Tamandua tetradactyla: one gene and its partner. The protein of the gene in region 1 purifies or fractionates together with the protein of each later gene. This does not show direct contact. Links are inferred from orthologs where the notes say so. Each region holds a gene or a part of one and is shown on either strand. Other genes may lie near its edges.

What was found. Proteins that work in one complex are often made in the same cells at the same time.
Region 2: the proteins of PPP2R2C (region 1) and CCT3 purify together in Homo sapiens (affinity purification with mass spectrometry; 4 studies listed by BioGRID and IntAct, counting the BioPlex papers as one, with this or other methods). This does not show direct contact. The link is inferred for Tamandua tetradactyla from reciprocal best matches to the Homo sapiens genes PPP2R2C and CCT3.

Annotation. Positions count from the first base shown.
Region 1 is NC_135345.1:6,446,864-6,453,836, reverse strand, and holds the start of PPP2R2C (protein phosphatase 2, regulatory subunit B, gamma), read right to left. Parts: upstream 3,010-6,973; 5' UTR 2,965-3,009; coding exon 2,895-2,964; exon of another isoform or gene 2,846-2,894; coding exon of another isoform or gene 2,818-2,845; intron 1-2,817. UniProt on the Homo sapiens protein: The B regulatory subunit might modulate substrate selectivity and catalytic activity, and might also direct the localization of the catalytic enzyme to a particular subcellular compartment.
Region 2 is NC_135330.1:9,339,637-9,347,688, forward strand, and holds the start of CCT3 (T-complex protein 1 subunit gamma), read right to left. Parts: upstream 3,007-8,052; 5' UTR 2,803-3,006; coding exon 2,772-2,802; intron 1,294-2,771; coding exon 1,232-1,293; intron 566-1,231; coding exon 515-565; intron 423-514; coding exon 360-422; intron 32-359; coding exon 1-31. Other genes in the region: TSACC (TSSK6-activating co-chaperone protein), read left to right, coding at 3,165-3,225, 6,263-6,322. UniProt on the Homo sapiens protein: Component of the chaperonin-containing T-complex (TRiC), a molecular chaperone complex that assists the folding of actin, tubulin and other proteins upon ATP hydrolysis.

The DNA.
Region 1 (6,973 bases):
AGTCCCTGGTCATCCCAACAACCCATTAAGAGAGATCACTATTACTTTTCCCTTTGCAAAAGGAAGAAACTTTTCCAAGGTTGCATAGCAGGTGAAGAGTCAGAAGCAGGATATCAACTCAAGTTCTGTCTGAAGTCCAGCTCTGTAATCTACTCTGTGCTCTGGGCATAAAATGCAGTCAGGGATGCAAGAGTGTTAAAGTCTGTTTTCACTTAAGGAAGCCAGAGTTTTCCTAAAATTCTAATAAGTATTATTAATTGCTTCCTCTACTAGACCCTGCCCTCCCTGAAGGCAGGAGTTCTGCCCCTGTCCCCTTGACTCTATACCTTATGCACACTGGTGCTCAGTCTGGGTGCAACTGCGTCCCCCACAAAGGCATGTTCAAGTCCCAACCCCTGTTCCTGGAGTGTGAACCCATTTGTGGGTAGGACTGGTGAAGATGCTAAGGTGAGCCCAGACTGAACAGGGGTGGGCCTTCCTCCAATGTGGCAGACGTCCTTGTAAGCAGGGGAAACTGGATATGGAAACAGAAGCCAAAGATGGAGAGAGGTCACCGCAGGATGGAAGCAGAAATGCATACACAAGCCAAGGAACCCCAAGAATGGTGGCGAGCCAGCATGAGAAAGCTACAGACGCCAGGAGGAAGTATGGCCTGGCAAGACCTCGATTTTGGACTTCTAGCCTCCAAAACAGAGCCAGTCAGTTTCTGCCATTGAAGCTACTCGAGAGTGTGGGATTTAAAGGAGCAGCCCTGGCACACTGAGACACTGAGGTTTTCCATCTAAAAATGTGGGGACAAGGGTACAGGAATGCTTGGGTGAGGCCCCAGCAGGAGTTAGCCACTCATCAGCAATCTGCAGTTCCGAGGCGGCTCCCTCACGCACCCTCTCACCTGGGAAGCTATCATTCGCTCCCATTTCACAGGCAAGAAACTGAGTACCAGTGAGAAGAGACACCCGCAAGGGCCCAGGGCTCCCTGCTAGAATATAGACTGCCTGCTCTCAGGGCTAGAACAGTGGCTTGCCACCACTGAAAAGGGATTAAAAGCCATTTCTTCTTTCTCCTATAGCTACACACTTGTCCTTGCTCTCTTCTGCCGAGCACTCGTGAAATTCTGAAATAAAATGGGGAATGGAGTAAGGGAAAAAATCAACCTTTGTAATGTCTACTAAGGGTCAGGCATGCTGCTTTTTACTTTTAATCATACACCTGGCCCTGTGCTGTCACCCCCAATGCACAGATGATAAAACGGAGGTGTCCCCGGGGAGGCGGGGCCAGGCCATGCTGGGGAACAGCTGAGCGGACCTGGCAAGTTCCCCTCTCCACCAAAGCCAGGCCGCTGGGCCCCCTGCCAGCGACCCAGAGGCCTCTTTAACCCTCTGCTGCCCACCAGGCTAGGAGCAGAGAAAGAACAACCCTGACACAGGCCCATCCTTGCTCAGCCTCACCCAGGCAGCAGACATAGGGTGGCGTTCAGCCTCCTGGGCAGCTGTGAGGGCCCCCGGTTGGGAGCAGCTCTCTCACCCAGCCCTGCAGCCCTGCCCCCTCCCCCACCACACACACACACACACACACACACACACACACACACACACGCACACGCCCATCAGCAAAGCATGACTCAGCGGTTCTCCTCAGGGAACTGGGGGCACACTCCACCCCCATCCAATGCTCCCCTGCCACCAGATCAGGAACAGGGGGGAGCCCACCTGCCGGGGCCCCGCGCTCTCCCGGCCCCACAGGGCTCCAGCCCCGGGACTCGGCCTCATTTCCGGCAGATCCAGGCATCCAGGCATCGGGCTGGCAGACGCAAACTGCCGCTGAGCCCCGCGAGCTCCCTGAGACAAGCACCCACGCACACCAACGCTGTGGGCTGCAGTGCTCAGGGCCCCTCAGTGAGCCCCTCCCCAGAGCCCTTCCCACATGGGCACCCACCAGGGGCACCCCTTGCCCAAAGCCCACCAACACTTCTGCAGCTCCTGGGAAGATGCCCACCGCCCGTGGACACGGAAGGCCTCGGGAATAATGAACCCGGCGCCCGCAGCCTCCCCACCCCCCACCCGGGGCTCACTCCGCAGCCCTCTGGCCGTGCACCGGAGGTGTCGCCGCTGTCCCCTAGGCAAGGCCCCTTGGAAGTTACTGACCTACAAAAAAGGGACGGTGACCCTCTGGATTCTTATGGCCGACTTGGGAGATTTCAAATGCAGGGCCCGTTTGGGGAGGCATGTCCCACTTTTCAGGGAAATCCTGACCGTTTCCGGCCAGCTCCTCCTGCCTCAGTATATAAATCACCAAGAATAAAAGACCAAACTCCAGCGGCCTCCTTCCCCCTCCCGCTAAGGGACCCCTGCCTCCAGAGGCCCAGGGAGGGGAGGAGGAGGGACAGCCAAGGACCCGGCAATTGGATTTTTTCTTCTGGGTCCCTCTTCGTCTCCAGGGAGTGGGCAGCCTAGAAAATTCTGCGGGTTTTGGGCAGGGCTGAAATGTCAAATTCAGGGTTTTAACCCATTACATTTCCCCCCCCCCCCCCCCGGATTCCTTCACCAGATTAGCCGAAGGGATGGCCTTTTCAGAAACGATGGCCGGGGCGGTTCAGGATGCCACCTGGCCACGGAGCGAAAAGCTGCCTCCCGCGGTGACTCCCGGAGGGCGGCGCGGAGGAGGGCATCGCCTCTCCGCCTGGCAGGGAAGGCGACCCCGCCTGGGCCCTGGCTGCTGACCCCCGGCTCCCTCCCTCCTGGGCCCGGGGCGCGTGGGGCGGGGTGGGGTGGGGTGGGGTGGGGTGGGGTGACACGACACACATCGCGCGGTCCAAACCTTCGGAGGGCATTCGGTGCGACGGCATCCCCACGCCGCGGCCGGCCGGAGGGGGTCTCAGACAACACGTACGTTACCTTCAGTCACATAGCTGTGGTCCCGCAGGAAGCTGTGGTTAATTTTCCGCGTGTCCGTGTCCTCGCCCATTGAAGGCCGTGCCCGGTGCCCTGGGCATGCCCCGCCGCCGCACACCGATGCAATCCGCAGAGGTCGCGCCGGGCGCGCGGGCCATGCCGCCGCAGCCTAGCAGGGGCGCGGGCCGCCGGGGCCCCGGGGGGCGGGCATCGCGGGCGTGGGGGGCGGCCGGGCGGGGGGCGGGGGCGCCGCGGTCAGGCGAGCGCGCGGCGGGCGGGCGGCGGCCGCGGGGTCGGGCGGGCCGGGGGCCGGGCGCGCATCCCGGCCGGCCCGTGCGCGCTGCGTCGTGCGCCCGGAGGCCGGGCTGCGGGGCGCCAGGCGGCGGCGGCGGCGGCGGCGGCGAGGGGACGCGCGCGGCGCTGCGCCGAGCGAGCCGGGGCCGAGCCGGGCTGCGCGGGCTGGGGCGGCCGCCGCCGCTGTCGCAGGCCCCTCCCTCGCGCCGCCCGCTCCTCCGCCCCCGCGCCCCGCGCCGCCGGCCCACGAGCGACCCCGCAGGTGGAACCTGCGCCAGGCCCAGGCGGCGGCTCGGGGCTCCGGCCCCGCGCGGGTGGGCACCTCGGGAGCCCGAGTGCGCCGCAGGGGAGGTTGGAAGGAAGCGGTCGGTTTGAGGGACGGGGAGCGGGTCAGCTCAGCTTTGAGGGTGCGTCTTGGTGCCCCGGTGCTCCGGGAATAGAAGAGGCGGCCGACGTTTGGGTGGATTGGGTTGTGGGGGGCCGCTGAAGAGCTGGGGCGGCGTACCTGGAGAATGGGTCACTGCGGAGGGGGTGGGAGGGCAGCGGTCCCGAGGCCGGCCCACAGCCCAAGTGGCCGGCAGGTAGAAGAGGGGGCGTGGGTCAGGTCCCTTCTAGCCCCCTCCCCCGCTCCAGGAGCGCAAAATGGGCCCCGTGAAGAAGCTGGGGCGTGGGGGCAGGGGGGCTGGAGGGTGTCAGCACAGTCCGGGACAAGCTGGGTGAGATGCTGGCTCCGTGATCACGCTTCTGCACCTAACGCACCCCTTTCCTTCCTGGTGAGCAGAAGTGGCAGGCACAGTGCCGCGTGCATGCCAAAAGCATGCAAAATGCTGTCCCCGCCCCCACGCCGTAGCGCCGTGCAGGAGCTGCCGGCCTGCCTCCCTTTAATCATGTGTCCCCCAACATCTTACACGGTGCCTAGCACATAGTAGGCCTTCAAGTATTTATTCCCTCTCTGGCGGAACCCCCAGTTCCCGGGAGCAAAGTCCCGGCCCTGTGACCCTGAGTGCTCTGCTCTGATCGCAGGGCCAGGGGGCTTCTAAATCAACCCTTGGGACCCAGTAGTCTGTCTTTGGAAAGGGACTGGGAGGCGAGGGAAGAAATGCAGTGGGTAGCCAGGGTGTCTGGTGCTTCCCCGAGATGGGGGTGGGGGTGGGGGTTCAAGCCGGCAGGAGGTGCAGTCGCTCCCACCCAATTTCCCCACTGGTTAAGCCCTCCGCTCCTTTCATCTGGTTTTGTGGGGACTCCAAGCAGCTCCCCAAATCAGCCGCAGTGAGGGCAGGAAGTTCAGAAAGGGCTGGTTAGAGGATGGGGGTTACGGGAAAGACTGGCCAGGGTGGGTGCCAGCTGTGGCGGAGGGCAGTGCCTCAGCTAGAGCTGGGCTTTCATCCAAAACAAATGCTCAGAATGGACCTGTGGGTGGTGGAGACCCCCCTCCCCCCCTCCACATAGGGAGTAAATGGACTAGACCAGGGGTGAGGTCCTGGAGGGAGCACCTCCTGGCTGAGTGACCTGGGCAAGTCCTCCAACCTGTCCCAGCACAGGTGTGCAAAGTCCATGCAAGGACCGGGTAAGGCTTCTGCCTGGGACAGCACCTGGCCTGGCACTGACGCAGCCAGCCCTCAGGTCACCTCCTACCTGACACAAAGGTGACTTTCACACTGGCTTCTTTCTCCCACCAGCCTGGGAGTGCCCAGAGGGCATAAGATCTGTTCTCCTCTCTCCGTAAGGCCTGGGCTCCTCAAATACCCGACACCTCGCTCCCTAAACCAACACCCCACTCTCCGCCTACACCCCTAGCACAACAAAACACCCAAAGCCATGGACACTGGAAGACAGATGGAGGGGGCCAAGGCATGGCCAGCCTTATCTGTGAAATGGACGCAGCCACTGGATGCGCCTCCCAGGGCTTCTGTGCTTCCCCCTCGTGCAGCTCCCATCCCTTCCTCACTGATTTTGGGGAGACCCCCACCCCCATGCCATCCTTCTGGTCTGTCAGGTCTGCTGAAAGCCCCAGACCACAATATAACAGCCCTGCCCTGGTCGTCAGCATCTCAGCCACTCTGGGCACCCCAAGTTGGGAGTTTCTAACCTCCCAGGGTCCACCAGACCCCACATCAGCCCCTGCCCCCCTGCAAGGTGGTCTCGTCTGCCGCCCTCGGGGGCTCGTCCTCCGTCTCCCGGGGCCCCTTGCCCTCATCCATCAGGGCCCAGGCCTCTGGGGCTCCTTCCACCTCTCCAGGATGCTGCCACCACCACCCCGATACCACCACTTGCACCAGCTGCCCCATCTGTGTCTGCACACCCCTTCCCCTGCCCCACCGCTCCTCACCCTGCCCCTACAGCCCCCTCCCTCCTCACCAGCTGCTCCCATTTATTCATTCATGACAAATGTTTGTTGAGTGCCCACTATGTGCAGGCAGGAGGCTTAGAGCAGGGAAAAGAACAGATAAAATCTCCAGCTCTCGTGGGGTTGACCTCATGGTAGAGCAATGCAGACAATTCCAAGTGAACATCCGATGGCCTGCCTGGTCCTTGCCCCCTCCCTTAGCTGACCTCCCACTGCAGCCACCCTGCTGGCCACCCCCACCACCTTCCCTGACCTCGGTGACACCACCTGCTGCTCTAACTCCTCTGCCTCCTTGGCTGCTTTGGAAGTTGCACGTCTTTCAATGGTCCCTGAAACGGGTCTCGGTGTTCTTCTCTTTTCCCCCCTGACTTGTTTTACCTGGAGTTACAGTACGTGTGCAGAGAAGTGCACAAAACGTAGAGTCAACTCAGCCAACTATCGTGGGGCAAACATTCATGTAACTGCCCCCAAGTCAGGAATGAGGACGTGGCCCGCCCCCTGGGGCCTCCTTCACTATCCCCTCTTGCCACCGTGGGTCCCTCCCCAGAGGCAACCACCACCTTGGCTTCTCACACTGGAGTTTTGCTTGTCTGAGAACTTTCTACAAATAGAATCATAAGGTTTGGCTGGCTTTGTATCTAGTTTCTTCTGCGCAACATGACGCTTCTGAGATTCACTCATGTTGTTCTACATATATAGCTGCAATTTGTTCATTTTTCACTGTTGTATAATATTCCATCATGGAAATTCACAATTTCTCTGTTCTACTATTGGACATTAAAAGTTTCAATTTAGAGACTATTATGAATAATGCTGCCATGTCTCAGCACATCATGCACACGCTCCTGTCAGGGAATTGTCACATTGCTGGAAGACTGGGTGTACATACAGCCTATGTATGTTCAGCTTTATGTATTAGTTAGGGTTCTCTAGAGAACAGAATCAACAGGAAGCACTTGCAAATATAAAATTTATAAAAGTGTCTCATGTAACCATGGGAACGCAGAGTCTAAAATCCACAGGGCAGGCTGTGAAGCTGACGATTCCGATCGAGGGTCTGGACAAACTCCATAGGAGAGGCTCGCCAGCCGAAGCAGGAAAAGAGCCTGTCTCTTCTGAATCCTCCTTAAAAGGCTTCCAGTGATTAGACTGAGCATCACCATTGCAGAAGACACTCCCCTTGGCTGAATATAAATGGAATCAGCTGTGGATGCAGCTGACATGATCATGATTTAATTCTATGAAATGTCCTCATCACAACAGACAGGCCAGCACTGGCCCAACCAGACAAACAGGTACCACCACCTGGCCAAGTTGACACATGAACCTGACCATCACACTTGAGTACCTGCCATTAAACAGCCTCCAAAGATGAAATGTAAGAGAGTCCCCGCCTCTGCACAGGCTCGTTAAAGAGTTTGTTGTTATTTCCTGCGAGTCT
Region 2 (8,052 bases), on another chromosome or scaffold:
TAGATTTGGCTGCTGGATGCTGCACTTGAATCTGGGGGAGAAGGAAAAAAAAAAAAAAAAGACTTAATACCACTCAAAGACTTCTAAACCCATTCTGCTTTGCCCTAACTTTTGAGCTTCTTGCTCTACACTTACTCTCTTTCCCTTTATTTCCTTACCACACCTTGAAAGACTAAAAAGAGTAATTCCACTTTCCCAATACTCTTACTTTTTGGGAAAAAATGCATTATGCCAACTCAGTTATTCGTTCCCAGAAGAGTAGCTTTTAGCTTATTTACTTGACAGACCACCTACATACATACTTCTTTATAGATATTATTATTTATAAAACTGTTTGAAAAGAAAATGAAAAGTCACACCTCACGAAGAATGGCATTGCCATCATTGGTCATCACAATGCCTCCCATTGGGTCCAAAAGCATCTAAGAAGCAAAAGTTATATTTGAGAGTCCCAGAAAACAGAAAGGGAAAATAAAATTCGTAGTCTGAGAACTTCAATAAGAGACAAGCCTACCTTCATCATGGACTTGGGTCCCAAACATGTTCTGATGATATCTGCAATAGTCTAATGGACAGAAAACATTGAAAAAAAAAAAAAGCACAAGTCTGAGGCCTGTGAGAGTGGTAGAAGGGGGCATGGGTAATATGCATAGCCACTGTTTTAATTTTAACAATGACACCTTTACTTTAGAGTAAGGTTGGTAACCACTACAGAGCATGCCCTGTGCCTAGCTCTCATCCCCTCAGGGAATGTTTTCAGAGTGGATGTAGAAAGAAACAACCTCACCAGAAAAAAGGGGAAAGGCCTCCTAGAAGTATCAGTCTTTCTTTCCATGACAGTGATTTCCATACCACCTTAAATCTGGTCTAGAGATACTTCATTCCTTCATTCAAAATATAATTACTGACTGCCCACACAGGACCTACAGTGGGCCCTAGGATATAGAAAGTAATTAATAGTAATTCCTTCCCCTCAAATAACTCAGTACAGTATGGGAGACAAATACGAATAGAATATTTAAAAACAACTACAGTAACAGAAATAGTTTTTATGTAAAAAAACTATTAGGCCTAATTCAGAGGGGAGGGCCCCCTTCCCTCTCCATCTCATCAGGGCAATGTCCTGAAAACAATTTTTCCTCTAACTGCACATGGGATTTATCACTATGAAGAAATAAAGAAATACTAAAAGGCAAACTACTACACTCTAAACACTTAAAAGATATGCTACCTTGGCAGCACTGATGTTCCCAGACTGAACTTTTCTTCCAGATTCACGCTTTGTGTTCTGGCCTGAGAGATAAAAAACAAAAAGGCAACAGCCCATAATGGCTCCACTGTACATAAGCCATTTATCCCCCAACCTCTGAAAGTAAAAATAAAGATACAGGTATACATAAAGGTCAAAACTTACTAATCAATTGTATCTCAAGAAGCAGTTAAAAATTCATACTTATGGCTATTTACCTCTTTATTTACTTTGATTTCTGATATACTAAGAAATAACCCCATAACACTTCAACTGTGGAATCTTGGTTATCACCTTCCCGCTATCCAAACATTCACATAATTCAAGTAGGGATTATTTGCAGACCTGAAAAAGACTTCACATATCACTATTCACCCCAGGACCCCCTCAATGGACATAAACCAAGGCAATGCCTCACCAAGTTACATATTCCCCTACAAGTTAATTTAACTCTATAAATCTTTCAATCCAGTCTCATCAAATTTAAACACCTGCAAACCCTCAAGGTTTACATTCCTATCTCAGGCAGTGGTAACTAAAAACCTGCATGGACCTACAAACCTTCAGAAAGAAAATAACTTTTTCAGGACAAAGTAAAATTTTTTGTAAAAAAAATCTTCTTAAAAGGTATTCCCTAGGTATAAAGAAAATGGATAAAAACTCTGAACAGCATTCTGTATAAACATGGCAGCGTAAGGGAAATGGTCAGACAGGCACCTTAGGTGTATAGAAGTTAAACACACAATGGAAATATACCTGGGGAAGACAATGGAGGTGCAGCCTGTAAATCAGAAAGAACTTAAGGATATTTCCAAAGAGTAAAGAGAACCACTCTAAAAGAGAAACTTGGAAAACAGCTGGTTAGAGGGAAAGATTACAAAGCAGCAGTCACAGAGGAAATGATTACACCTGAAGAAAAACCAGTGGGAGAAGAAAGGTTACTTCAGGAACAGGAATTACTGAATGAAAATTTAAAAGGAATCAATGGTAAGTGTCCAAGAATACCATTCACTATTTGCAAGATCCTTTTCTGAGCAGTTTGCCTACTTATTTAATCTCCACAATTTTACGAGGAAATACTATTAACCCCATTATACAGATCGAAACACAAACAACTTGCCCGAAGACACGCTAACAAGGGGTGAGCCAAGGAAATTAAGTTAGGCCTAATGAAAAAAAAACAAAACACATTATTCTTTCATTATTACACCACACTGAAAACCCCGCAAGAGGACTACGACAGGGCGCAGGGGCCTGGGGCGAGGAACCGGACCGAGTGGCAAGGAGCCTCCCGATATGAATACAAGGAAAGGCAGGAGGATCGGCGAAGAAAAGCATCAGTTTGCGTCTGTGTAGAGGGGAGAATGGGTTAAGAAAAAGGAGGAAAGCGGACTTCCTAAACGAGCCCGATGACTAGGAGAGTCGGTGGCCGGGCCAGGGCGGGACCTACTGAGGCAACACTGAGAAGAGTACCGGGATGGAAGCGAAAAAGAGGCCCTTCCCCGGATTCCCCAGAACTCACTGAGCACGAGCACGGGACGATGGCCCATCATGGCGACGTGATACAAAGCCGGGTACCCACAGCTGGGGAGGCGGCAGAACCTTCTAGAGAAAGAAAACCAAGCAAAAGCCCAGAAAACGGTGTCTCCTCCGGGCTTACACCTAAACCCGCTACTCTCCCAGCCGCCGCCAATCACCGCACGTAGCTCATTAACCGACAAGAAAACAGGCCAATGGACATCGTTAGTCCCGCCTCCCACGCAAGAACGGCAGGGCAAGCTAGATAGAGAGAGCGCGAAGATGGAAATGGTAGGGCACCGGCGCTTGCGCAATAGGGTGGCCGATCCTGACCGCGTGCAGCGCGAACTTCAGCGCAAGCGCCAAGGCTCAGGCAGTTGGCCACACCCTACTGCGCATGCGCATCAGCTACATTGAGGGGCGGGCGCTGGGGTTGAGGCTTTGGATTAACGCCGCAGGTGAGGTTTTTAAAGTGTCTTGAGCCTCAGTGCTTTTCGGAGTTCAAGGAAAGTGTGACAGTTTCCAGTGTTTTGTTCCGGCTTTAGCAACGAGAAGGAATAGAAGGTCTGAATTTCAACTGGCCGTTTAGGAAAGACCTGGTCGGTTTGGTGCGGGAGATGATGGGAGTTGTAGTTTTAGCGGGCTGAGCGCACCGAGCCTTTCCCCAGGCACCCTGGGAGTTGTGGCTCATCGATTTTGGACTCGCATGACTATGTGCGAAACTTTCCCTTCTTAGGCCCGTGTTTACTAAACCTGTAGCGGTAGATGGTTTGCGTTTTTTTTTTTTTAGTTCGTTTATCAGAAACCTTTGCTCAAATATTCTGTCTAGTTTCTGTTTCCTGTTATCCTTGTTGTCACTTGCAATTTATTCCCCCTGAAATGTCCTTTTTGTTTTCTCTATCCTGTGCCCGTCAGGAGTGTCATTGTCATTGTCTACTCCCATTCTCGCTTCTTCTGGTACCCTTTATTTCCCTCTCTGCATTTTTAAAATTTCTTTGGGAGTGAAGCCTATGGCCTGTTCACCTGAGGAAATCACACAAAGCTTTTCAATATAATGAAAATGTCTTCAGTTCCAATTATGAACTATTCTTAGCTCCCGAGGTAGTGTATAAATGTGTTGCTGGTGTTAAAAATAATAACAAATCCATATTATGAAAGACCCTTCCAATATCAAAAATTTAAAATTGCCATAGCCCAAACAACCCCAATGAGAGGTATGGAAAGATCAAAGGTGGTGGTGAAATTATACATAGACGATAGGACTTAACAAATGAATATGAATGCTGAATCATTAAATTGATATCTCTTTTAGTCTCTAATATTTTAGAGAGGCTAGAAGTAAAAACCTAAAATTGTGAAATTGTAATTCATGTCAAAGTCTGAAATAGGTTCTATAACTCGTTTTGGTGCTGTGCTTGGAAATTTATAGCTTTTTTAATATATGTTATTGTTCACAAAAAAGAAGGAAAAAAAGTCAGTTGTGATGATAAAAACGTATTTAAGCTCTCTAGCCCCCTATATTCTGGAGCAGCTAGAAGGGAAAATATGAGAGGATGGTGTTGTGGCTCATGACGAACTCTGGGATCTATCCTGTAACCACTTTTTGAAGAGTGCTACTATTGCTTTTTTATTTCTTTGCTTTGTATATATGTTATACTATACAATAAAAAAAGTTTTAAAAGAAAAAAAAAATTCTGTCTAGTGCTTTGAGGTTCTCTTTCCGCATGGCAGCCCTGCACCCCCACCATGCACTCAGTTGCTGATCCCTTAGAGATTTTGATGGGGAGCCAGATATTTAAAATTGCTGTGCAGGACAGGAAAAGGGATGATACTGCAGAAATTAAACATGAAGAGAATACCCTGTTAAACCAGAGAGAAATTGGGGCTGCTTTCTGTCGGGATTTTGTAACCCGTTCTTGTTGATTTTTAAATTTATTTTGTTTATTAAACATACAAACATAAACATTCTTACCATATGATCATTCCATTTTACATATATGATCAGTAATTCACAATATCATCACATAGTTATATATGCATCATCGTGATCATTTCTTCAAACATTTGTGTCAATTCAGAAAAAGAAATGAAAACAAAAAAATTCATACATACCATACCCCTTACCCCTCCCTTTCATTGATCACTAGCATTTCAATCTACTAAATTTTTATTTTAACATTTCTTCCCCCTATTATCTGTTTATTTTTAATCCATATTATCTGTTTATTTATAAGGTATGTTTTATCTACCTTATATGTGTATAAGGTAGATAAAAGAAGCATCAGACACAAGACTTACACCATCAGACAGTCACATAGCAAAAGCTCTATCATTATACAATCATCTTCAAGAAACATGGCTACTGAACACAGCTCTACAGTTTCAGGCACTTCCCTCCAGCCTCTCCATTACACCTTAACTAAGAAGGTGATATCTATTTAATGTGTAAGAATAACCTCCAGGATAACCTCTCCACTCTGTTTGGAATCTCTCAGCCACTAACACTCCATTTTGTCTCATTTCTGTCTTCCCCCTTTCCATGGAGAAGGTTTTCTCAATCCCTTGGTGCTGAGTCTCAGCTCATTCTGGGATTTCTGTCCTACGTTGCCAGGAAAGTCCACACCGCTGGGAGTCATGACCTATGTAGAGAGGGGGAGGTCAGTGAGTTTCCATGTCATGTTGGCTGAGAGAGAGAGCCACATCTGAGCAACAATAGATGTCTCCTTGGGGGTGAGTCTTAGGCCTATTTTTTTTGTTTTTTTTTTAACATGGGCAGGCACCGGGAATCGAACCCAGGTCTCTGGCATGGCAGGCAAGAACTCTACCTGCTAAGCCACCATGGCCTGTCCAGGCCTAATTTTAAGTAGGCTTAGCCTATCCTTTGGGGGTTTAAGTTTCACATGAACAAACCCCAAGACTGGGGACTCAGCCTATTGCTTTGGTTGTTCCCACTGCTTGTGAGAACATCAGGAATTCTCCACTTGGGAAAGTTGAATTTCCCCCCCTTCTCACCATCCCCCCAAGGGAACTTTGCAAATACTTTTTTATTCACTGTTCAAATCACTCTGGGATTTATCGGGGCATCACTCTGGACAAGCCTACAAAATCTCATGCCCTACTCAAGGTTCCATGCACTTATGGTATTCATTTAAGCTAGTTGTGACCCATTCTTAGGAAACTTAAATTTGTAAGTTTAAATAAGTTGGTTAAATTACTATTTTGTCCAGAAGAAAGGAAGCAATAATAATAGAAACAGTAGTAATAGAACGGTAGATTGCTGATAAATAACTTATATTTGGCCATGAAATAGAGCACACCCTTTCCTCTCCAAATTAAAACAGCTTGAAACTTGCTCAAGACAGCTTATGAAGTTGTCAATAGTAAAAATAATAGCATGTATTTAAAATATGTATATTTTTATTGAGAAATCTCCATGCACATACAGTCTATACAGTCAAGAGTTGTTGATTATGTGATGCTGTGATTCTTTCCCAGGTGCCACACCTGTTGGTGTCCAGATGGAGCAGCACACTAGTCGTCCTACTAGCAGAAGAGGTGTGTGTCAGAGACCTTGTTTCCCCTCCCTTAAACGCCAGACCTCCCCAATTCCTCAGCCTATGGGAAAATGATTCTAGTTGTATATATGCTTTTCCCTTTTACTTGGTTAATTGGAAAGCAGGTGTGTTTGTTCTGCATTCCCCACTAAATGGGAACATTGCTGTATTCCCAATGCCTAGAACTGGATCTCTTATATGGTAGATGTTCAATAATTATTAGGTAAATTTCTATCTCCCCTTATAATAAGATGTTATGAACAGGGCTCCATTAAGACAAGGTGTTGACTAGAGTGAATAGATAATAAGTTTGAGTGGGACAATCCCAGTGGTGGCCAGGAGAATGTCTTAGGCCGTCTGACTCCAGAGCCTACCCACTTAACTGTAGGAGGTTAGCTTCCTGTAACAGAGACACCCACTCTGCCCTCCTTGAACATAGATTTAATTAGTTCTTTTCACAGAGTATATAGTGCAGTGGTAAAGAGCATAATTGGCATCTGCAGGCCCAACGTTAATTCCAGCGCTGCCATGTAATCATTGTGGAATCATGAGCAGATTTCCTGTTTCCTGAAATAAAATGGGGATTAGTGATCTCACAGGGCTGTTGTGGGAAATACATAAGATAAGGTATGTAAAGGACTTTTCATTGTTTTCTCCATCCTGACTTCTTTGCGGCTCCCCAACCTAATCTTCTGTTGTACATTGTCTAATGAGAAATACCATTCCTTTAGTATAGGCTGTGAGTAAAAGATTCTTCAAACCTTATAATCCAGTAGATAGCACGTCCTTATACACACAGGGTGGGCTCAAATAATTTAACGGTGCACTTGCATGGAAATTAACAAATTTTCAAGTGGTGAATTGAGAGATGAATTTCAGCTTCTATCTCTATACCACTCTACATGAACCATCAAATGACTGATGCCTCTGGAGCACGTGGAAGGAGAAGGTGGGTGACCTACCGTAGGCCTTGGAAAATCCCCAAACCCAGTAAAAAGGAAAAAATATATATATGTTCCCTCACCAAGAATAGCTGACAGGGAACATGACAGACTTTAGTTTTCTAAAGCTCGATGACTTTCCGGCCTGAAAGCATCTCAGCCTGGCCCCCATGGATGAGCCCTTCCTCCTTACCAGCCCATTCCTTCTGTCACACCTTGAATAAAGCGCAAGAATAAGACGTCTTCATCCATACAGCCTACTTGTCGTGCTTCTGCCCCCAGGCCTGTTTTTCATGAAGAAGTCATTGCTTTAACTTCATCTCTCTGAGATACCACTTCCTCAGGTTGTATTTTGCAGCTCCGTGGACTAAGTTAGGTGCTCTCATTGCATTGTTCCGGGTATAATAACACGCATGGTGACTCCACTCAGTGACTGTCTGCACTTTAGGACCGTCAGCTACATGAGAGGAGGGGTCACATTTGTTTAGTCCACTGTGGTAGCTTCAGCAGCTGACACAGTAGACACTTGGAGTCTTTATGTGTATGATTGAATGGGGTACAAATCAGTTTTTCGCTCTAACTTAACTATTTTTGCTAAGGTAATGTATTTTCCCATTTAGGAATCTCTACCATGTCCAACCTATTCTGTTTAATATGAATAAATTAATCAAGATACCACTGATAGCTTATTTCCTAACCCCAGAAAGGCCAGTGACTTTCCATGATATTTGGGAGAAAGCCTAAATGTAAAGGGGATTTCCTAGTCCATCTTGTCTGTCCACTCCTCTCT